Linked DNA regions of Mus musculus. The protein of the gene in region 1 interacts with the protein of each later gene in a pairwise test. Links are inferred from orthologs where the notes say so. Each region holds a gene or a part of one and is shown in the gene's direction. Other genes may lie near its edges. The genes, in order: Gpank1, Ccdc184, Lzts2 and Trim23.

Region 1 (5,586 bases):
ACCCTCGTCCCTGGCGCTCCTCAAAGCCAGGCCCCTCTCCCCTCCATGTCAGCCGCGACAGGGCCCTCGGCTCCGGCTCCCCACCACCGCAGGTGCCTGCATGTTCCTGGCGCCTGTCCCAAGGCTTCCGAAGTTCATTTTCCCCAACAGAGCCGGCCTCTCCTGCACTCGCAGGGTTGGCGAAGGCACCACACTTCTGTGGGTCTCACGAGCGTCCCCAAAAGCCGCCTCCTCTCGCCCAGGGCCCCCGACCTCCTTCGGCTACCGACCCGGTCACTTCCTTCGTCGCCCCCACATCGAGGAGCTCCAACCAGAGTGCCGCGCCCAGGGACGGGCGACTCGACGCGGGGACAACCCCACACTCACCGGCCGGACGGGGACTGGGACTGGGGCGGGGAAGGGGAGCTGTGCTTCCAAGGAACCGCAGAGACCACTACAGCGCAAAAAGCCGACCCGGCCGCAGCAGACGAAGTAGGGAGGGGGGGGGCCACTGGAAACTGGTGAGGATTTGGGTGAGAAAAGGGCAACGCGCAGGCGCTAAGAACCGCCCCCTACCTCCGTGGACGCCGGGAGATGTAGTCCCGTCGGCAGAGAGAAACTGACGAAATGAGGGGAAGACAAACTACCAATCCCAAGAGGACCCGCGCATGACTCTCTAAGGGCCGCGAGGCCCTAGAGGAAGCCGCCTGGGGGCGGGGCGAACCGAGGCGCCACCGGAAGCGGAAGCGGAGCAGGGGGTCTTCCCGACCAGGAAGCCTGGGAAATATAGTCTTGTTAGGCTCGCTAAGCTGCCGGGTAGGTCCTCGGGCTGATTGTCATCCCTGCGGTGCTCCCTCAGCGTTCCGCTTTGCTTTTTTTTCTCCCTCTTCCCTGTGCCAGGCCAACCCACGGGATCCTGGTTCTCTCGCCAGGCCCGCGACAGAGTGCGCTCGGGCTCCGGCATGCGCAGAGTTGTGGTGAGGGACTTAGGTCGGGTGTGCTTGGGATGCGCTGAGCTGTGCACGCTGCGTGAGAACCTGGACCGCCCTGCGAGCTAACCTGAGGTGGGGCCAGCCATTCTGCCGCCGCTTGTCCCTTTGTACTTCTCCATCTCCTCAGAGCTGGGGTAGAGAGTTGTGCTGATGACCCTGACTGTTCTTCAAACCCTGCTCAGAGCAGTGGTGAGGGGTAACCGTGATGTTACTTCATCTCACAGCTCCTCGGCATCCCACAGGTCTCCCCACTGTGTCCTCAGAGTCTTTCTGAACGCGGAGGGTGGCGAAGGGCATTGTGGGGGCGTTATGTAAAAGCAGGACCCCAACCGACAGGCTCCCCCTTGGGTCCTCGCGCTACTGGGCACGCGATGCTTTACTACGAGGATGCTAGAAAAGGTTCTAGCGCGGGAAACTTGAACCTTATGGATGTTTTGTTGTTGTTGCTCCTGCGCATGCCTCGTTCTGCCCTGTGGCTATTTGATTGTATCCAATCTTACAGATTACAAGAGCGACATTTTGCGGTACAGAAGTGACAATGCAGCTTCCCCAGAAACCTCCCGGAGTAATGTCATGCCTGTTTTTAATCTGGGAAAAGGGGACCCCTAGATAAGATCGAGCAAGATTTAAAAGGTCGACCTGTGCGGGCCAGTGGTGGCGCACGCCTTTAATCCCAGCACTTGGGAGGCAGAAGCTGGCAGATTTCTGAGATCGAGGCCAGTCTGGTCTACAGAGTGAGTTCCAGGACAGCCAGGGCTATACAGAGAAACCCTGTCTCGAAAAAAAAAGGGGGGGGGGTGTCGACCTTATATTTCCTGTATGTGTTAGCGGAATGTTTTCAGAGAGAGCCTGGCATTTTTGTTTGTAGGAAGATGGGAGTTGAATACAGAACCCATTAACAACTGTCTTGTAGAATATTTTTTTCCTGTTACCCTTTTTCTTTTCTGTGTTATTGATAGAATCTAGAATTCTCAAATTTGAAACAAGCATTCTACACAGATTCATATCTACTATGCCCTCATGAAATTTTATTAACATCATGACAGGATCTGTTGTTCCTGGGGTCTGTTTTACCCATCCCATCGTGACAGGATCTGTTGTTATTCCTGGGGTCCCTTTTACCCATGAGGCCCGGGCTCCACAGAATCCTAACTATGAAGTCAGTTTTGGGATGGGAGGCCCATTTTAGTTCTAGGCTGCTTTCCCATCTCAGCGGGCCCCCAGAGGTGGTGCTGGTCATCTTCACAATAGCTACCTGAATGGTTGGATCGCTTGCTTGTCACATCCTTGCCTTGCCCAGTCTTCATTTTCTTGTTTCTCTCACAGGCATGTCTAGGCCATCCTTCATCGAATTTACCCCAGCGGCTGACTCCAGTGACCTCTGGAAGGATGGGCAGCAGCAACCACAGCAGGAGAAAGCAGAGCCTGTCCTGGACGGGGCTGCTGCCCGGGCTTTCTATGAGGCTCTAATCGCAGATGACAGTAGTTCCTCTAAGCCCCAGAGAGCTGAACCTATGAGGGAGAGGAAGAAGAAGAGAAGAAGAGTGACTAGGGAGCCTGCAGCAGCAGGAGTCCCCAGACAAGGAAGAGCACTTGAGGATGAAGACAGGATGGCCCAGTGGATCCTGCTGGCAGCCCAGAATGGGGATCTGACAGAACTCCGGAGGCTGCTAGAACCCCAAGAGGCAGGGGGAGCTGGAGGGAATATCAATGCTCGTGATGCCTTCTGGTGGACTCCCTTGATGTGTGCTGCCCGAGCAGGCCAGGGCGCCGCTGTGCGCTATCTCCTGGGCCGAGGAGCTGCCTGGGTTGGAGTCTGTGACCTGGGAGGCAGAGATGCTGCCCAGCTGGCTGAAGAAGCAGGCTTCCCTGAGGTAGCCCGTATGGTCAGAGAGAGTCATGGAGAGACAAGGAGCCCTGAGAACCAGAACCGGTGAGGAGGGAGCCTTCACTTACACCCATCTTTATTGTGTTCTTCCTTTCCTGGGCACCTCATACTAAGGGCCCACAGCAGCTAAAGGGGGCTATTCATCCTCTGGCATATTCAGTCATAGAGTAACAATGGGCGTGGTCTTTGTGCATTTGAATCTTGGTTCCATTTATTTGCAGTGCCAGCCTAAAGTCTGCAAATCTCAGTCCTTGTCTGAGAATTGGGGCTAAGACTTTTTCCTCAAAGGGGTGTTAAGATACAGTAGGTTAATGTGGAAAGAGATGGGGTAGGATGGGATGGTGCTTGTCACACAGTTTGCACTTTATAAATGCCAGCACTACTCATTATTCCTGAGAGCTTGAGGCCTACCTGACAGTATTCCAAATATTCCCTACTGGGAAGACCCTGGGGCCCCTTTCCAAGACAAGATACAACCAAAAGATGCTGCTGACATTGGGAGAAAGGCAAAAAGTACTTTGCTCTGCTCTGCCTGGTGCCTGAACAACTTGAGGCTCTGTTCATCTTTTTTTTTCCTCCCCTATAACATATTTCTTTCTCTGCAGATCTACCCCCTCCTCGTCCCAGTTCTGTGAGGACTGTGGTGCCCACTTTGAAGACTCCAACCACCACACATCTACTGCTCACCTGCTGTCACTGTCCAGGAGACCCCAGCCCTCCAACCTTCCCCTTGGGGTGCCCACTTCCAGTCCTGGCTTCAGGCTACTGCTGAGAGGTGGCTGGGAACCAGGAATGGGGCTAGGACCCCGGGGTGAAGGCCGTGCCAACCCTATCCCCACTATCCTCAAGAGGGACCAGGAAGGATTGGGTTATAGATCCCCACCCCAACCCCGAGTCACACACTTTGCAGCGCGGGATACCCGGGCTGTGTCTGGGAGAGAGAGAGTCCCTCGAGTTGCCACACTGAGTCAGAGGGAGAACAGAAGGCAAGAAGAAAAGGGCAGAGCCTGGGAGCGAGATCTAAGACTGTACATGAACCTCGAGTTCTGACTGATATGGACTGGCCCTGGTCTGTCACTCGCTGGACTTGGGCCTCTGACTTGGACACTTGGACTTCCGAACCCTTAGGCCTTAGCTGTTGGGCTCTGATTTTAGAGAGAAGGGCGGAGAGTTGGGAGATAAATAAACTTCCTTCCTTGTGGTTTGTTTACTTTCTTGAATGATATAGTAGGGAATTGGAACAAATCTGAGAGTCACATAGAAGTCTCACCTGAGCCAAAAGGACAAGCTCTCCGGGTGACAAAAGAGAGTCCCCAGTCCTGCTGGCTGCATTCTACCTGCTCCTTGAATCCCCGCCCCCACACACACATTAGGAATTGCCCCACTTTGTAAAACACCCCTCTGAGTATGTGTCTAGGCCAGTCAAGTCAGTGACAAGTATCACAAACCAAGTGTGCTATGTGTTGGAGAGGGGCGGGCATAGCTTGGTTAGAGCACCTGCCTAACACTGGGAAGACCCTGGGTGGGGCCCCTCTCCAAGACAAGATGCATCCAAAAGATGCTGCTGACATTGGGAGAAAAGCCAAAGATACTTTGCTCTGCTCTGCCTGATACAAACCTTGAACTTGAGGAAGCCAGCTGTGATGAAGTGTAATACCTTGTGGTAGGGAAGTTAAAAGTCCCCAGAGAGGAAGTAGAGTCCTGCAGGATTGGCCAATACAACTAATGTCATCCAACCTGTGTGACATTCTAGCTGTGACCAGAGCTCTGACCTCCCAGATAAAAAGTTCAAGATGAACTTTTTTTCTTTTTGTTTTTTGAGACACAGTCTCTCACTATGTGTAGACCAGGCTGGCATCAAACTCAGCTAAAACTGGTTCTGGAGTGCTACATGGGGCTTAACCTAGGGCTTCATACCTGCTTACTGAGTTAGGATTCCAAGGCTTAAGGCAGTCCTAAGAGATCATTTCACTCCCTGAAAACCAGGCAATATGCTTTTCTACACTTCTCTTACGTACTTGGCACCCCCAATCCCTTGAGATGCTTATACAGAGTGCTAGGAACATGAAAGCTTTCAAATCCCAGTCTGGAAGGCCAAAGGGCGGCTGCTTAAATCACGTGGCTCCTGTTATTTACCTTTCTGGACCAGCATTACAAGATATCTCAGGTGAGAAATGGAGGAATGGCGGGGGTTGTGAGAAAGAACCACAGAGAGGCTGGAATCGTCACACAGGGAAGCAGTGGCAAGAGGATCGACTCAAAGGCAGTCTGGGCAACATATGTCCAAGCCTTTCCTGAGCTATATATATCCTGAGCTATATATATATATATATATATATATATGGATCTAAGCTACATATATAGGGGACCTGTCCTTAAAAACAAAGCTGGGCAGTGGTGCAGCGTGCCTTTAATCAAGGAGACAAGAGGCGGGCAGATCTCTTTTGAGTTCAAGGCCAGTCTGGTCTACCGAGCTAATTCAAGATAGCTAAAGTTACATTGAAAAACAAAACAAAAAAATCCCAAACTAAGGGCTAGAATACCTAACCAGTGTCAGCGGCGGGAAGGTCTGGGAGGTGAGCAGCCGAACCCGGGTTCGTGCTCAGGGTCTGGTCTTAGGTGGTCCTCTCTCTACGCCTGCGCTAGTGAATCGCGGGGGCTTCGGAGGAGGTCGCTCTGTCGAGTCCGCCTCACGGGTTGCGGAGCTCCGCCCCCGCTGGTCCCTCC
Region 2 (5,843 bases), on another chromosome or scaffold:
CTTCCTTCCCTGTATACACCACCCTTAAAATACAAAGACTATGTATTCCTCCATCTCTGATTTTCATGCAGAATTTATGAAATCTGTTTTTCTTAATCAAACATAACCAATGTTTCCTCCCTATATTTTCAAGCCCCACCCCCAAGTTCCCACCCCACTCCCCAAGTTCCCACCTACCCTCTCAAATGTCTGACCTGGAATTGGACTGGATCAGCCACGCTCCTGGGCCTCTGCACCTGCTTCCCATGATCTTCAGTGCTTCTCCAGGAAATTCCCCTCCCTCTTGGCCCAGACCCCTTGTGCTCTCTGGGTGCTGCATGGTCAGAGCCTCTGAGCGACATGATATTCTGATGCTGAAAGCCCTGACACACAGTACCTGCAACAATAGTGGCCAAGGGCCTTGTGTGATGGCATAACCCAGCTCCTACTGAGCAGGGCTAGGTCTGACGTAAGCCTATCTTGGCAGCAAACGTGGGAAGCATTTCACTGAGAACAGGATCGGTCTTCAAGGGTAGAAGGCAGGGAGCACTCTGGAAGAGAACCATCAAGATAGAATTCTTCATGCGAGGTGCCACAGAAGAGATGGGGAGGAATGGCCCATGGCAGAAAGACTGCAGAACATGCCAGTCTTTTCTTACTATAGTAAGGTTCCCATGGGAGGGACGACAGCAGGACTGGTCCTGCAAAGCTCTGAGAACCTTTGCTACATCGTGATTAGATGTCATACTGGGTAAGCTCAGCTGCATCTTGCCTCTGTTTCTAGTTCTCCTGTAGTTTGAAAACAAAACAAACAGCAGACATTTGCACACGAGTGCATGTGTGTTATGGTGAGCCTGTGAGAGTCAAAGTATAACTCTCTGTGCCGAGGGATACCAAGAAAAAGTGTTCTGCTCTTTCATGAGCCAGCTTAGGGATCATCTAAAGTTTATTGACCATGTATGGCAAGAATGGCAGAGGCAAGAGCAACAACAAATTTGTTGAAGGAGCAAGGAAACAAGATTAATCATTAGTTTTTAGAAAGCAATACTGCATGGTGTGTGTGTGTGTTCATCTTTGTTTTGGGGAAATCAAATTTCTCACATCTGTCCAATATATGTCTTAAGTTATTTATGTAAACATTCCGACCCTGGGCACTTTAAGATAGTTTAATTTGCTTTTATTTTAACAGTAGCAGTAAGACAGGCATAGATGAATCTGTTCTTTGGTGCCTCAAAAACCTGGCTGGACACTCTTCATCGCCAAGACATACAACCAGGGAAATTAAAAAACACACTTGCAGTTACTGAACTACAGGTGACCAATGACACTCACCCACACTTAATTTTTTATACAGTTAGACAGCACTGTTCATTTACTTCTCCTTCCCAGAGTCTTGTAAACTCAGGGTTTTGACCACTTGGCTTCCTTTTATCAAAGCGATGTCAGCGTGTTATAGCCTACAAGATGACTACCTTCCCAGCCTATGTCGTCTCTAAATATATTATAACCAAATTTTCTTCCTCCTCCTCTTCTCCTGCTCTACCCTCTAAGTAGGGGAAGGAGTTTTCACAAAGGACAGGGGTGGTTAGTGGGCATCTAAAGATGGGAACTAGGGGCGCTGGCCCTAATAATTCACTCAATTGCACTTCGGTCCAGTGTTAACTCAGATTTAGAAACACTATTATTCGGTCCGTCAAGAAAACGATGTCAGCTGAGGTCTCTCAGTCATTAAGGGCTGAAAGGAAATTGTATTCAGGTCTTCTGAAGTCCACTATGTGTGGGCTGGAGAATCCTGGGGAGGAGAATGGTACTTGGTGGCTCTTATTTAAGTAGCTATTCCACAAATACATCATCTGCTCTCTGCGTCTCGGACGCTATTTAAAGCGCTGGGGATTCCGTGATGGAGGGTGCAGGGGAGGGGAATCTGTTGTTATGGAGTTTTCATTCTCGGAATTTAAGTACTTAGCTTCATAATTTTCATACCCCCCCAACCTGGGTAGAAACAGCTGGGTCCCATAAGAGACTGTATCTCACCCTGAGCTTTCTGGAGGGAGGGAAAATTGTTTTTTGTTTTTTTTTTTTTTTTTTTTTTTTTTTTTTTTTTTTTTTTGCTGCAGAAGGGAGAAGCAGATCGGTCGCGCCTCCCTCCGCCTTCCTCTGCACCTCCAAGCCTGGTGCTGCCAGCTCGCCTGGGATTATTAACAATCGCTACCCAGTCCTGTGGGCCGCTGGAGGATGGACCTGGCTCTCCCATGGTCCTCCAAGGAAGGAATGCGGAGAGCGGGTGAAAAGCCCCCCCCCCCCCCCCAGGCAGACGGTCTCTCTCCGGCTTGGGGGTGGGGGTCGTGCAGCAAACTGCTTTCTCATGCTGTCCTATTAAACATTGCAGCCACATGCTCTTTGCAGCTTCTCTGAGGCTACTGCAGCATCCCTGCCCCGCCCGTCAGCCCATACAACAGAGCTTCACTGCAGCTTCGGAACCCTGTTCTCTTTCTTCCTCACTTCCTCGTTGCCATGGAGACACACGTCATTTACGTGCCGTGCGTCGCCTTGGAAACGGGGGAGCATCCGCGGCGCCGCCGGGAGACCCGCCCCTGCCTCTCCAGCCGCACTCGCGGGCACTGCTGGTGGATGGCTGGGGGGAGTCCCGAGACTGACGCGCTGCGGGTCCCCGTCTCGACCCCGAGCCCTCTGCGAGCGCCTCTGTGACCTGTGAGCACTCTTTGTCGGTGATTGCCGGGAGGGCGGCGGGGACATAGGTACCACACTGGAGGCGAGCGGGCAAGCCACTTTTGCCCCCTGGGTAAGCCCGAAGATCCTGGTCCCGGGACCCTAGACAGGTCTTCGATCCATAGACTCTTCTCAGCCCTCCTTGATCCCGCCCGTGTCCTCTGCCTGGGGCCGCTCTCTTCACGTAGGCTCCCCGCCCCTCTAGGGAGCCTAGGTGTCCCTGGGCTCCACCCCGTCCCTCCCGGGACCTCTCCCCCTCCACACCCTTCCCCCACCCTGGAGGCCCGCTGGACACGACCCAGAGCTGCCACCGCCCGCTTCTGCCACTCAATGGAGGACAGTCTGCTGGAGATCATGACCAAGGACGGCGGCGACATGCCAGCGCCTCTGGAGGTGTCCACGGTGCCCGCCGTGGGGGACGTGATCTCTGGGGAGTATAACGGCGGTATGAAGGAACTGATGGAGCACCTGAAGGCCCAGCTGCAGGCCCTGTTTGAGGACGTGAGGGCCATGCGAGGGGCACTGGACGAGCAGGCCTCGCACATCCAGGTTCTGTCGGACGACGTGTGCGCCAACCAGCGGGCTATAGTCTCCATGTGCCAGATTATGACCACTGCGCCCCGCCAGGGAGGCTTGGGCGTGGCCGGCGGCAAGGGGAGCTTCCCAAGTGTTCCCCATGAACCAGAGACACCTTCGCCTGGGATCGAGGACAGCGGCTTGCTGGGTCGTGATCCTGATGAAGACGAGGACGAAGAGGAGAAAGAGACACCTAACCCCGCCACACCCACCAGTCACTGCGAGCTCTCTGAGAGCCCCGGTCTCCTTGGGGAGGATGGGCCACTTGTGGAGCCCCCCGACCTTCCTGACATTACCCTGCTGCAGCTGGAGGGCGAGGCCTCTCTGTGAGGGAGACCCCACCAGGGAACCAACTACCCGCGCTGGCTTTGGGTTTCCAAGTGCTTAACCCGAGGGGACTGAACAGTGCGGTGCAGTGTTCTTCACTTCAAACGTGGTCCTTATAGGTCAGGGAGAGAGACTCCCTCACAGAAGGATTTGTAGAGTCAAGGACTTTGGAAGCATCGCGAATTCCACCCAAGCAGGCATCATAGCAAACTGCAGAAAGGTGAGGTTCCCAGAAAGGACGTGCCCATCTCTGGACTCTCATCTATCCCTTTACCTTGCCCCCTTCCCCTCTTCCTAGGAAACAGGAGGACCATTGAATTATGTAAATAAAATTCTGCTTTTTCTATTCTGAAAAAGGAGTCATCTAGGACTTTGGCAAATAATCTCTATTTACCTAGAAATTAAGGAGTTGGGGTATTCTGTTCTGGCAACAGGAAATTTACCCTTTTCCCCAAACCCAAGATATTCAGTGCTCTGCGGAAACCTCTCCCCCTTACAGATCGCTCTGCAACTGCTGATGGGTAAAGGAAGCTTGAGGAGGGAACTGCGGCCCTAGGAGTCAGGGTACTCGGGTTCCCAGGGCCCCTAGGCTGGGAGGAGCTGGCTCTGATGTGCATGAAGACACAAGAGCTCAAGCTCTGGCACTGAGCATGCAGAGCCGAGCCTGCCCCGTCGCTGACTTCACCTGGGATTGCTTGGCCACTCACCTGGGCCTAGAGAACAAAGTGCTCAGGTCGCAGGCAGAGACTTAGGACTGCTCAGCAACTGTCCAGATTTAAGGGGACATCTGAGGAACTCTTGGGGGAGGGGGCGCTGCAGCCCCAAGCTGTCTTTTCTGGCTATACCTGCTTAACTTCAGTTCCTTTTATTATTTTTTTTTTCCTGTCAATATGTCGGTACCCTCTGCTTTCTGGTGTTGCCTCCATAATGTCTTGTGTTATGTGTGTCCACTTGTGTAGTAGTGTGTGAGCCCTCAGGGGCAGGGCTTGTGGCTCTAGTATTAGGTTCAGGGGGCTTCAGACCCGTCTGCAAGCCCCAGGCTATCATGGCGCTTTCTGCTCTTTTCCCTTTTATGCCCCACTCCTCAACCCAGGGCACGGAGCATGTGGCTGTCCTGAGTGTCCTTAACTGATGTGCTCCTACCTTCCGAAGTGGTGACTGTGTGTGCCCCTTCCCTCCTCTGTGTATCCTTTCTTAGTGCTTTGCTTGATGTCAACCTTAATAAAAAGGCACCATCTCCCCTCTTGCTGACTGGTACTAAGTGGGTTTAAGGCTGGGGCTTCTGGGTCTGCTGTGTGGATCAGGGCTTAGGAGAAAATGTAGGGGACCAATGCCTTCCCTCCTCTCTTCTTGCCTCCAGTCCCAAAGAGTTAACTGACTTTGTCCTGGTTGGGACAAGCTTGCCAGCTCTGTCTGCTTTCCCTTCTGCCCTGGACCTTGATCCAATGTGGACCTGGAAAATGCAGAGATCTGCCTGGAAATACCCGGCCCGGCTAACAAGGGTTTTGGTAGCCAGCACTCCACACCTGCAAGAGATTTCAGTGAAGCAAGCCATGGGGGTGACTTCTGAGTGAGAGCCCTGGTACAGCAGGCATGCCACCTGTTCTAGGGATGGAGTGGGAGTCACTGTTCTGGAGGGGTTGCCCGGGGTTTCTGGAGTGGAGTGACACATCACTAAGGAAACCACAGGCACTGCCTCAGGCCTCTAGTGGAAGATGTGGGCAAGGTACTCCCCGGGGAGTCAACACTGACATCATCTCGAGGCTGCTCCCTCGGGAGATGGAGATTTCCTGAGGCTGCCCCAGAACAAAGGTTGAGAGCCGACTATGATGTGTGTGTGTGTGTGTGTGTGTGTGTGTGTGTGTGTGTGTGTGTGTGTGAGTGAGAGAGAGAGATGTAAATTACTTCTGTTACAGAGAAGGCTAAAGGACACTGAAGGGTTTGATGCAGGTTTGAGTTTTTAATTCCAACACTGAGTTGACTGCCTAAGACTTGCTCTTCACAATGCATATGCTAGGAATAAAACTATGACTCCTAGGACATCTTGTGCAAATGTTAGCTTCTCGGTGGTTCTCCTGGCCAGGTAGAGTGGGGATGACTCCTCCAGCGAAGCAGAACCCAGGGAAGGTCTAGAGACAACTCCCCACCCCGGGTTTTAAATGCTTATTACTGATGTACCTGTGCATTTGTGCCTCTGTGTACGCACGTGCACAAACGGTGCCCACAGAAAA
Region 3 (5,965 bases), on another chromosome or scaffold:
CCTACCGCCACCTCCACCCCTTGCAGGACTGGGCACAAATAGCCCACTCAAGCGAGAAGAGTCTCCCCTCACCCCTCCTCAAAGGGAACGCACCAAGAGTAAATATATCCTTAAACCTAAGGGGAGTGTGTCTCCTCTAGGTGGAAGAAAGATCAGAGTCCCCTCTCTGAAAGTGAAAGAGGGGGCTGCAGCCTCTTCCCCCTCCGGCCCCCATCCTTCATTCCCCCCACCCCTCACCCGGCCACATGCTGAGCCCAGCTGCTGCCTGAGCTTCTGGGCTGGAGGCCAGAAAGGGGAGGAGGTTCTCGGTGCCCCAGGAGGCAGGGATCAGGGCAAGGCCAGAGGAGGGGGTTTCTGTTAGGGAGAGGGGTTCGGTATGTTCTTGTGAAGCTGAGGGGCTGGAGTGAGCCTGAGGGTGGCTAGGCTGTGTTTTCCTTTCCAGGGAAAAAGAAAGAAAAACAACCCTTTCCATGGAGCTAAAAATAGAGCTGAGAGCCGGCCAGGCTGTGGCCTGGAAGGGGGGGGGGTGCTTCTTCCTGGGGCTGAGCCCAGCTCTGGCAGACCTTGGGGGGGGGGGCGGGGGGGATCGGGGAAGGGAGGATGGCCTTGCCAGAACATGTGAGGTCGGCTGACCTGAGCAGGTCACAGAGACCCCTCAGGGAAAGTGGGTAGTTTGTGAATATGATGTAAGAAGTTTCCAGAGTGGCTGAATCCGGCTGTCATTGCGTGGAAGAGGGTTGGGAGGCTGAGTGTATTTAAAGAATGTGACTGGATGCAAAGGACTGTTGTGCACTCTCCCGTGCACGAAACACCAAGCCTTCTGTGAGTTGGCCTGAAGGATTATGGAATGAAGATCTATGGAGCCACGTGATGGATGAGACTGACTGTGGCTGCCCGAGACTGAATGTGGGAAAGGTCGTGTGGGTGTTAAGACTGTTGTTTTCGAGAGGGTAAAAATATTTGTGACCCCAAGAGAGACTTTGGGATGTCTGCTGCGGAGCCAGTGTAGGTTTGAGCTGTTCGTTCTTGAGATTATTGGGGGTCAGGTATCCCTCCCACCCCCTTTGAGCAGCGACCCTTCTCATAGCAAATGACCCCCGAGGTTCGGCTAGGGAGGCTGGAGCCATGCCAGGGACAAGCCTGGGCTCGCGGCCCGAGGGTGCTGTGCTGGAAAGGGAGTGGGATTGGTGGGGGTCTTGGGGGGGGGGGGCTGGTAAGTTGCTGGAAAGGGCCACCAGGTGGCGCCGATTTGGAAAATCCAAGCGTGTGACCTCCAGCCTGCTGGGGGTGGGACAGACAGCGACCGAGCCAGTCCCTCAACTTGTGCCCAGGAGCCGGCAACTGGAGAGGGATGGCTGACCCCCTCGGCCTCCCCATGGACCGGGAAGCTGGAGACTGAGGAGGGAAGCTTCTCCTAGAGGAGCGGAGGGGGAGGGGCGGGGCTGGCGCCGCGCCTTGGCTCTTTGTGCTGGAACAATGACCAGCTGCCGCTGGCCCTTGGGCTCCGGCAGGGATAGGCGATGGTGACCCGGCTCGATGAGTCTCGAGCCGGCCGAGCCTCCTAACACACACACACACACACACACACACACACACACACACACACACACACAGAGTCGCTAGGCCACTCTGGGAGGAATCCCGAGCGCTACCGAGCACACACACACACCACACTTAACACACACACACACACACACACACACACACACACACACACACACACACACACACACACACACACAACACACACACACACACACAGTTGCTAGGCCACTCTGGGAGGAATCCCGAGCGCCGCCGAGCAGCCCCCGCGTGCGCCCTGGCTGGCACGCGTGACGTGGGTTACTTGCGCGTGTCCGCTCCCCGGGGCGGGAACGCCCCTCGGACCCCTCCCCCCATCAGTGCGCACCGCCCACTCGGGCCGGGCGGGGGCCGGTCAGGGCCGGGGGCGCCGGCTGGGCGGAGGCGGGGCCGAGCCGGGCAGCTCCGAGTGGCCGCGCGCGGGCTGGAGCGGGCGGCGCGCCTGTGGAGTGCTGGGGCGGCCCGGGGCTGAGCATGGAGCAGCGCGGCGGAGGTGAGGGGTCCAGGGCTGAGGGTGCCCCAACTTCTAAGCGATGCGGTCCGGTGGGGAGGTGGCATTCCATAGACGCCCCCAGTTTATGGAAGGAGCGGACTATTGTGGGTGGCGGGGGGGGGGGTGGGGGGACACGACGACTCTGGGCTTTCAGTCTCGGAATGGCAACTCGTGATCCCAGACTGGATCCTGCTTGACTGGTCTCTGGAGTTTGAGTGTGTGTGTTTGGGGGGACTTTCCCCAACTCTCCAACCCCAGCCCTGAGGTCAGAGAGTTGGGACGTGGGCCAGACTCATCTCAGGCCCTGGCGCGGCCCCAGACTCTAGAACCCCCAGCTTACTTGCTGGGGTGGGGGCGCAGGGGTCTGTGTACCATAGTGATAGGTCAGGGAGTGCTGGGGAGAACCAGGGCTTTCTTTTTCCCACAGCTACAAACGCATTTCTCAAAATGGAGCCGCTTGCCCCTCCTTCTCTCTTGGGCCTCAAAAGCGGGAGCCAGGCTGGCTAGGCCTGGCTTTCCTGACGCCTGGCCCTCAGAGCTCAGCTCTGTGGCTCCTCTGGCTTTAGGGGTCCTTGCCTGTGTAGCTTCAGCGACCCTAACTCATGGGTCTGCCTCTGGCTCCTCGTGTCTGAGCCTCTTGGCCTTTGTCTCTTCTGTCTTCTGGCTCCTGTCTCTCTGAGTGTCTACCCCGGCCCTTGCCCTTCCTTCTGGGTCTCACTTTCTGTGTCCTCTGGAGTAGGGACAGGAGTGCCAGCCCCTTCTCACTCCTCACTATACTGTGGAGCAGTCTCCATCCCTAGGCTGGACCTTTTGGGGGCGATCTCAGTACCTACCCTACAGAGAAGTTGCTACACTTCAGTTCCTACCCTAGCTCTTAGCAACTCCTTCCTCACGCTGGACTCCTGTGAGTCTCTGGTCTTAACACTTAGAGGCACTTAGTGGAGAACAATATACAAAGATAAGATGGGGCAAGGGCGTCAGGCACTGTGATCTCACCTTTCCTCAAACTCTTAAGTTAAAAAAAAGTTTTAGGGAGGAGGAGTCCCCATTCACATTGGTGGCTTTGAATGTCACCCAGGTCCTCATGCACTCCCAGAACGCTCACTTATACAGATTGGTCCTGGGGAGCTTTCACACACTTTTCTTGTGTACAGTAGGAATCCATGTAACTGTCCCAGGAGAACTGCAGGCGTCCTGTAGAGATTTGTGTGTCTCAGTCTATGAGAGACTTGACTCAATGGACCCAAAGAAAGGAGGATTTTCCCTAGAATTTCATGCTAGGAGAAGAAGCAGAATGGCTTACTGAGGATAGGTGACTGGAAGATTTAGTGGTATTTACACAAACCTCACATATGTGTGCACAAACTGGTATATCTATCCAAACATTTCTCTTTTTGCCATATAGTGACATCCAGAGCCCACAGATTCATTTGTTTTATACACATTAATAACTGTGTGGTGTGCTTTCTAAGTTACGAAACTCATAACTTTGTAAAACATAAGAATTCACACATACAGCCTGGTGGTGGTAACACACACGCCTTTAATTCCAGCCCTCAGAAGGCAGTAAGAGGTGGATCTCTGAATTCAAGGCCAGCCTGCTCTACAGAGCAAGTTCCAGGGCAGCCAGGGCTACACAGAGAAACCCTGTCTTGGAAAAACAAACAAACAAAAAACAAACAAAACAGCAAAAAAGAATTCACAGTGGGCAGTGGTGGCGCACACCTTTAATCCCAGCACTTTAGAAGCAGAGGCAGAAGCAGGCCGATTTCTGATTTCAGGGCCAGCCTGGTCTACAGAGTGAGTTCCAGGATAGCCAGGGCTATACAGAGAGAACCTGTCTCGAAAAACCAAAACCAAAACCAAAAACAAAAAAAACCACACATACAGCTCGGCATATTTGCACAAGGTTAGAATCCCAGCTCTCTGAGGCAGGAGGATCTGAGTTTGAGGCCCACCTATGGTACATAGCACAACCCTGTTTGGTTTTGTCATGTCCCCTACATCACACACACACATATACACACATGTATGAACGTACTGACATCTGTCTAAACCCACATGGACTGCACAGTTTCATGCATATTCTCACAGATACTGTTCATTTTTTTATGACCCTGTCTATGTACTCACACCCACAAGTAAATGTACACACACACACACATACACACACACACACATACACACACACACACATTCTTCTTTCTCATGGATCCTCAGTCCACTTTTTGGCCCCTTTGCTCTGTGATGACTTCAGCAGATGCCTAAGTCTTGGTCATCGGCAGCCTTGGGACTGGGCGGGAGTTCCGTTCTGGGTGCAGGCTTGCTGTTCTTTCCAGGAAGGAGTAAGACTAGGGGAGGCGGAGCCAGCCATCTTACTTGAGCTCCTACTAGACGTGGTAATGGGCTCCTGCTCAAATTCCATAGGGGTTATTCTGAAGATCAACTAAAGCAGGAAGGTTTATAAAGGTTGGCAGTGGGACAGGGCCTGGGTAGGCTCCCTTAGTCCCGAGTGATGGCAGAAGCTAAGAGTGACATGGAAACAAGCACAGCCTGCATCAACCTCTGGGAGGTAGGAGAGACCCCAGAGGGCACCTGTGGATTCCTAAGACCTGTAAGGTTTCCTGTTTGGCCAGCTCCACCCTCGAAGCCGCCTGAGTGTCTGGGAGAAACTGAGGCCCAGTGGTGGGAGGCTGGACAGCGCCTGGCTTTGACTCTTTGTTCCCTAATTACCATCTGAGTTGCTGATTGCATCCCTGACGTGTCCTCTGCCCAAACAGCCCAGTAATGAGGCCACCTGTCCCAGGAGAGTAGGGACCTGTACTGGGAGCTAGAGTTAGGGATCTCTGCCCAATCTGAGTCTTTGGCTATATAGGGGATACAGGTTGGGGCTTAAACTAGGTCTTCTCTGCCAAGGAACCCTGTATAAATGTTTAGATCTCCCATTCCTTCCTCTCTGTGTGGTCAAGTTATTCCTTAGCCTTGTTCCAGACTAGAGTTGAGGCCCAGAGGAACTCGAGGTTCATGCCAGTTCTTGGAAGGGAAGCCTTTTTCCTAAATGGGGAATGTTCTATCTGGAGGAGGGGGTCAGGAGAAGGCTTATAGGGGGAGGATCCTCAAGGTGCAGGGACTCTGACACCAATGCCCTGCTCACAGGTTGCCCCGGAGGCCCCTGGCCAGACCTGAGCCTCTGCCACCATGGCCATTGTGCACACTCTGCCAGTGCCTCTGGAGCCCGCACGTGAGACAGCCACTGCCCCCAAAACTCCAGCAATGGGCAGCGTGAGCAGTCTTATCTCAGGCCGGCCCTGCCCCGGGGGACCTGCTCCTCAACGACATCATGGTGTCCCTGGGCCCACCTTCTTCCGCCAGCAGGATGGGCTGCTACCGGGTGGCTACGAGGCACAGGAACCGCTCTGCCCGGCTGTGCCACCGAGGAAGGCTGTCCCAGGCAATAGCTTTACCTATGTCAATGAGGACTTCCGGACAGAGTCTCCTCCCAGCCCCAGCAGTGATGTTGAAGATCCCCGGGAACATCAGGCACACAATGCCCACCTCCGTGGGCCCCCACCAAAGCTCATCCCTGTCTCTGGAAAGCTGGAGAAGGTAACGGGCAGCCCTTTTGGGAGGACCTGGGTGGGAAGCCAGGAGCCCCTCAGGGAAGCTAGAATTTGGAAGCGTCAGTAGAGCAAAGAATATGGGTTCTGTCTTACCACTCAGACAGTGAAATAACCTGTCTGAGCCCCGTTTTCTGTGTCTTTATGGTTACGGTTAGAGGCTAATCTTTGTAGGTTCCTGTTAGAATTAATACATAGTAAAGTACCCAGCAACCTCAAATGAACAATATAGTAATTGTCTGAGTTAGTTTTATTTTGTTTTTTGAGACATGGT
Region 4 (5,923 bases), on another chromosome or scaffold:
TGGTGCTCATCTGTGATCTGAGCATCTGGAAGGTGGAGGCGAGGGGGCCGGGGACACTTGGTCATTCTCAGCCACACTGAGAGTTTAAGGTCAAGTCACTAAGTGTCTTCTCTTTCTACAAATGAAGAATAATAACAAATACAACTCCCTACCACTGAGATTTTTGGTAGCTTCTAAGTTGTGTGAAATCACACTTAGCAGCTCATATAATTGTTTTAAGTTCATATAGAAATCATAACGATCCATGAAAGAGCTGTTTCATTTTCTAGGAGGCAACAATACCTTAGAAAGATGATTTTTGAATTATTGCCCTGATCTCTTACTAGACATGTTATCTTGGAAAAGCTGCTAGACCTTAAAAGATAAGTTATCTTTTAAGCCCACACACTAGATGTAAGACGGAGATAATGAATATCCAGTAAGTTCCTTTCAAACACATATAATCTATTTTAGTCTAGATCGTGTGGAAGTCTACAGGTCTCATTGTTGTATTGATAAATATTGCAAACCTTCTTAGTTCCACATTCATAGACAGTCATATTAACTGCAGACATCAAAACAGGATTGTAGGTTAGGAATGGAACTGGCGAGCTTCTGGAATGCAAGATGTGTATGGAGCTCACAGAGAATGAGGGAGGAATGTGGAGTATATCAAAAGGGATGCCTTAAAGAAGGTTAAGTGCAATTCAATCTAGTTTAAATGTCTTGTAACCATTTCTCCCTATCAGTTGAAGTCACTGTTAACTTTATAAATGCACATCCCAAAAGCAAGAAAGTGCATTGTGGCAGTAGCAAACATAAAAAAGAGGCTGAAAATGTTTTTAAATAAAAGGTTATCGATAAGCAAATTCAAGGAAAATCTGACCTCTTATCTTTTTTTTTCTGATCAAATTAAATCATTAAAACGTATTCAAAACTTCTGCGTATAGACAGTTAAAGTTGTTAAGATAGTCTAGTCAATTTTCCCACAAACATGATACTACAGTATGAATTAATTTGTAGTATATTTCAACAAATCTAAGAAGTATTAGGTGTAGTTCCACTTATTTCAAATCCTTGGTATTATCGTGCTACACTATCTACAGATAAGTTAAATTCTGGTAACTTCATCCCTGCGCCATGGACAGATTTAGGAGCAATTTTTGAAAAAAACATATCAAATGCCAGCTGAAATTTATGCTGGTTCACAGAGATCTCTGCGGCAGGGTCGAGGCGCGTGAGCTTCAGTGGACAAAACGTGGTGGCTGCGGTAGCAGAGACCTCTCAGAGCTTGGGTTCGCATTTCATTCCAGGAAGAGCAGGAAGGCGAGTTGCCGGGGTTAGGGACAAGGCCTACTTCGGGGATCCTTCGCACAATGAGGGTACAGGCAAACAACAGAGTGAGGAGTCTCAGGTTAGCAAGTTTACCTTTTAGCGCCAGCAGGTGCTCCTGTTTGGGGGGATTCACTTCCATCTTGGCGGGCACTTCTGACCTCAGCCTACGCAGGCTGAAGTTTCACCGGGTCTGGAAGGAAAGTGCAAAGCACAGGTCCCGGAAGATCGGGCTTCAAACGCACGCCCGACTTCTTTCTGCTCGTGAGGACTTAAATTCTCTTGTCACTAAATCCTTTACGGCCCCAGTGAAATCTTTGTACCATGGCCATTCCTTAGCTCAGAAGCACACACTTGCCTCAACCACTAAGGCTGACTACAACGATCCACTTCTTGCTGACAATTCGCGGCTTCCCAAAAGCTTTCATTGCCCGGTGGGGGTGGGGGAGGGCGCTACTGTCATGGCATGCTGGGATTTGTAGTTCATCATATACAAATTTCGCAGTGTACGCGGGGCAGGTGGCATGTAGCTCAGTCCTTTATTCTGATTCGTTTCAGTTCTAGAGAAAAAATATTGTTACAGGAATGTCATTTTCACCATAAAATTTTATTTATGTTCCATACTTAAAAAAAAAAAATTTCTCCTCTCCATTACTCGCAGATGCTTTCATGAAAAACAGTGCGCACGCGCAAGCCGTACAGCCAATGACTGACGGGAGAGAAAAGGTCAGAAGGGACCGAACGGCTCGCCATCTATCCTGCGCATGCGTGAGGGCGGCATGCGCCGAGGCTTCTGGGTAGGACGCTCAACCCCTCCTCTCAGTAAAAGGCTCTCCTGCAGCTGTGGCGCGGCTCCATCCAGGATGGCTGCCCTCGCTGTAAACAAGCCCGGAGCCGGAGTAGACAGTGGGCGGCAGGGCAGCCGGGGGACGGCTGTGGTGAAGGTGAGGGAACTTGCGTGCTCTGTTCTCCACCTGCGGCCTCCCTTCGGTTCGTCCTGGAGACCTGGCCGCGACTGTGTGGCCCAGGCTTGGCCGGGTGGGATGCGCGGCCTCTGGTGGGCGTTACAAGCCTTTCCGCCCTTCCGCGGTCCTTGCCCCGCGGAGCTGAAGTTGCCTGGTCTTCTACCTCAAGTGTCAACGTTGTCCGTGGGGCTGTTTGTGAAAAGCATCGCGTGAAAGTTGACCTGGATTTATTTGGTCTTTCCCCTAGTCTTCTGTTTCTAGTGATGCCTCAACAGGCGTTACTTACTTGACTTGGTTGTATTAAACACTTATTGCAATAGACAAGTACTGTCGTAGATGGTTCAGCTCGCAAATATCTACTTAAAAGGTAGATGTTAAATCGCATTTTACATGGGAGGAACCCTAGGTTTAAGTTAATACAGTATGTGCTAAGGGCTCAGAGTTTACTGGTTGTCAACGTCTGCCATTCAACATTGCCCTGAACAGTAGAGACTGGAAACTTCTGAACTCTCCAACTGCAGCACATTTGGGCTTTAACACTAGATGTATGGAGTTTATAACTCTCTGGTTAGAAGATTCTACCGTCTACTTATTTACGAGCTACATTTACTAAAAATTAAGTGCAAGTGTGAAGATCATTTTCCTCACCCACTGTAACCTAGATCTAAAAGGGGCAGGCGTTTTAGGGAGTCACTCGGAAAGATTATCTGTTGCCAAGAGATTAAACAACAACTCTTTCTGAGTGTGTTGACGACAGGACATTTTTTTAATTCCCAGAAGTAATTTTAATGGACACTTGGATTTATAACAGTGAACCCAAGTCTGGTTGGACATTCTTTTAACTCGTTAAATGGTAGATATCTCTTTCTGTCTCTGTCTCTCTCTATAGCAAAGGTCTGCTTTTGAGGAATATATGCCTACGATGTATTATCAGTCGTATTTTATTGGTGTTGAATCAGTTAACTTTTTATATTAATGAAATTTAGAGAAGCCCTCATTAAGCATATTTTGTGCTTATTGAGATTTAATATTTTGAATTGTGTTTTTGCCAAATGGGAATACTTGCAGAATATTTTGTCATTCTTTTCCTATAATTGGAATATCATGTCTAATTCTCCTTAACACTTCGTTTTACTTTACTCATAAAGTATTCTGCATATGTACATGAAAAACATAACGGTTGTAGTTATGGCATATGAATGCACTATAATTTCCCTTTCAATTTAGTATTTATATGTATCTTTCCTTGTTTTTAATTAATGATACAAATAGTGCTTTAAAGAGTTACACACTGGTTTTGTCATATGTGGGCTGGATGTTATTCACTAGTAGACCATTTACCTGCTATGTGCAGGAACCTGAGATTTCCCAGTGGCAGAAACAGCAATAGCAACAAAGAAGAAAGCACTTGGATCCTGTCATGTATGTATGACGCAGTTTAGAGTAAGTTCCATAAGTACTGCTAAATTGTGTCCATGAATGCTATTATTAGTCAATAGACTTTTTGTATTAGTCAGTGAAATTGTTTTCCTATACTTCTATTAATACAAAACTTTAACAACTTTTTGAAAAAAATATCTTGATGTAGTTATTCTTTGTTCTCTAATGAGTTAGACTGAAATCTTAATATAAAGTTTTCTTTAACATTTAGCAGGTATTTATCTCTTTTTTTTCCCTATGAATTATACCACATTTAAGTTTCTTTTGAATTATTACCAGTATGTGAGGTAACTACAAATTACCAGTTTAATTGTAGTAAAAGAAATTTGTATCTCAGTTTCTAAGTCTAAATGTATTAGAGAATCAAGTTGTCTTCTGACCTCCATACTTGTTCTGTGGCACCTTATATATGTGTGTGCACACACATCCACACATAGAAAATAGCATAAACTTGTAAAAGATTAATGGAGTCATACTATATGTCAAAAATTGAATAATTTATCTATCTATAGAAGAAAGCAAGGGTGTCTCTATTTTAGGTTTTAAAATACTAAGAAACATGCCTGGCTTGGTCAATTGTTTTTAAATCTAAAATATGTGAATATTGTTTCAGTAGTGTTTACAGGGCACATGTTTCTGTTTTATATACAGGTTCTGGAGTGTGGGGTTTGTGAAGATGTCTTCTCTTTGCAAGGAGATAAAGTTCCTCGCCTCCTCCTCTGTGGCCACACAGTCTGTCATGACTGTCTTACTCGCTTGCCTCTGCATGGAAGAGCAATACGTTGCCCATTTGATCGACAAGTAACAGACCTAGGTAGGAAAATTATATGAGGTTAAAGTGAAAAATTATTCAAACACAAATGTCACAGAAAACAAATTTTTACACCTGACTTTTTATGTTACGTTCCAAAGAGCTTTCACAATCTGAGTCTCTACTAAGGTAGATGAGGTCCACTCTTAACTGCCATGGGAATCTGAAACTTCCATAGCTATGCTTAACACAAAAAGCTTTAAGAAGTATCAGAAATATATGCTACCCTTATTCAAAGAAATGAGACTACTTTATTCATCCCAGGTTAAGTCCTACTAATGCTCTGAATACAGAACATGGTTTCTTTTTTTAAATGAAAGGTAATCAAAATATAAAGTCATTCAACTCTCAGTATTTCCTCCCTCCCTCACTCCTTCCTTCCTTTTTTCTCTTCCTTCCTTTCGTCGAGATAGGGTTTCTCTGTGTAGCCCTGGCTGTCCTGAAACTTGGTTTGTGGATCAGACTGGCCTTGACTGAGATCTGTCTGCCTCTAGCTCCCCAGTCCTGAATTAGAGGTGTGCACCACCATGGCCTCCTAGGTCCTTGCATGTTTTTACAACTACTTGGGAATCAGTGTTGACATATTTTAAATGTAAAAGTGTGTGTGTGTGGGTTTACCCAAATCCAGTTAGGTTGGCAGAAGATGCCTTTATCCAAAGATCTATCTCACTGGCTCAGGTTTAGAAAGTACAACATTAACATTTGAACAGTTATTTCACAGTTTAATGTAAATTCTTAATTTATTCTGTAAGATAAAAGAATTTTTCCCAAAATTTTTTAAGGCTGACTTTTTTCCCCTCAGGTGTTTATCAGTACTTAAGACCAGGGCTCGTGGAAGGAGTGAACCGACTCCTGACCTCCATACTTGCTCTGTTGCACCTTATATATGTGTGTGCACACACATCCACACATAGAAAATAGCATAAACTTGTAAAAGATTAGTGGAGTCATACTATATGTCAAAAATTGAATAATTTATCTATCTATAGAAGAAAGCAAGGGTGTCTCTATTTTAGGTTTTAAAATACTAAGAAACATGGCTTTGACATGTTTTCTTAAGGTTGTGGCTGTCTTTATTTCCTAGAAAGCTAATGAAAAACACTAATGATATTACACAGATAATATTAATGTACTATAAGCCATAAAGTAATAGCAGTGGAAACTGTCAATTTTCAGATAATGGTCTTTAAGATTGACGATGATCTGAGGTAAATCTTCCTTTTTGCAACAGTGAGGTGGTCTACATGAGTGGATGCTCAGTGTTCCTCAGCATGCATCGTGAGGAACAGAGCTTTCTCAGCTGCCCTAAACCCTGAGGATTTGCAGGGACAACACAAGTCTGTATTTTGGTTACTTTTAGTTTTTTTTAGTTTTTGTCTTGTTTTGTTTTGTTTTT

The links.
Region 2: the proteins of Gpank1 (region 1) and Ccdc184 interact in binary tests that used the Homo sapiens proteins (3 or more experiments, as listed by UniProt). The two-hybrid records come from large-scale screens. The link is inferred for Mus musculus from reciprocal best matches to the Homo sapiens genes GPANK1 and CCDC184.
Region 3: the proteins of Gpank1 (region 1) and Lzts2 interact in binary tests that used the Homo sapiens proteins (3 or more experiments, as listed by UniProt). The two-hybrid records come from large-scale screens. The link is inferred for Mus musculus from reciprocal best matches to the Homo sapiens genes GPANK1 and LZTS2.
Region 4: the proteins of Gpank1 (region 1) and Trim23 interact in binary tests that used the Homo sapiens proteins (3 or more experiments, as listed by UniProt). The link is inferred for Mus musculus from reciprocal best matches to the Homo sapiens genes GPANK1 and TRIM23.

Annotation. Positions count from the first base shown.
Region 1 is NC_000083.6:35,120,756-35,126,341, forward strand, and holds Gpank1 (G patch domain and ankyrin repeat-containing protein 1 isoform 1 precursor), read left to right. Parts: upstream 1-2,196; 5' UTR 2,197-2,230; coding exon 2,231-2,904; intron 2,905-3,464; coding exon 3,465-3,909; 3' UTR 3,910-4,060; downstream 4,061-5,586.
Region 2 is NC_000081.6:98,165,277-98,171,119, forward strand, and holds Ccdc184 (coiled-coil domain-containing protein 184), read left to right. Parts: upstream 1-2,529; 5' UTR 2,530-3,039; coding exon 3,040-3,615; 3' UTR 3,616-4,858; downstream 4,859-5,843.
Region 3 is NC_000085.6:45,016,157-45,022,121, forward strand, and holds the start of Lzts2 (leucine zipper putative tumor suppressor 2), read left to right. Parts: upstream 1-1,978; 5' UTR 1,979-2,074; intron 2,075-5,230; 5' UTR 5,231-5,272; coding exon 5,273-5,680; intron 5,681-5,681; exon of another isoform or gene 5,682-5,965. UniProt on the Homo sapiens protein: Negative regulator of katanin-mediated microtubule severing and release from the centrosome. Required for central spindle formation and the completion of cytokinesis.
Region 4 is NC_000079.6:104,176,707-104,182,629, forward strand, and holds the start of Trim23 (E3 ubiquitin-protein ligase TRIM23), read left to right. Parts: upstream 1-2,132; 5' UTR 2,133-2,174; coding exon 2,175-2,255; intron 2,256-4,367; coding exon 4,368-4,530; intron 4,531-5,923. Other genes in the region: Trappc13 (trafficking protein particle complex subunit 13), read right to left, coding at 1,408-1,453.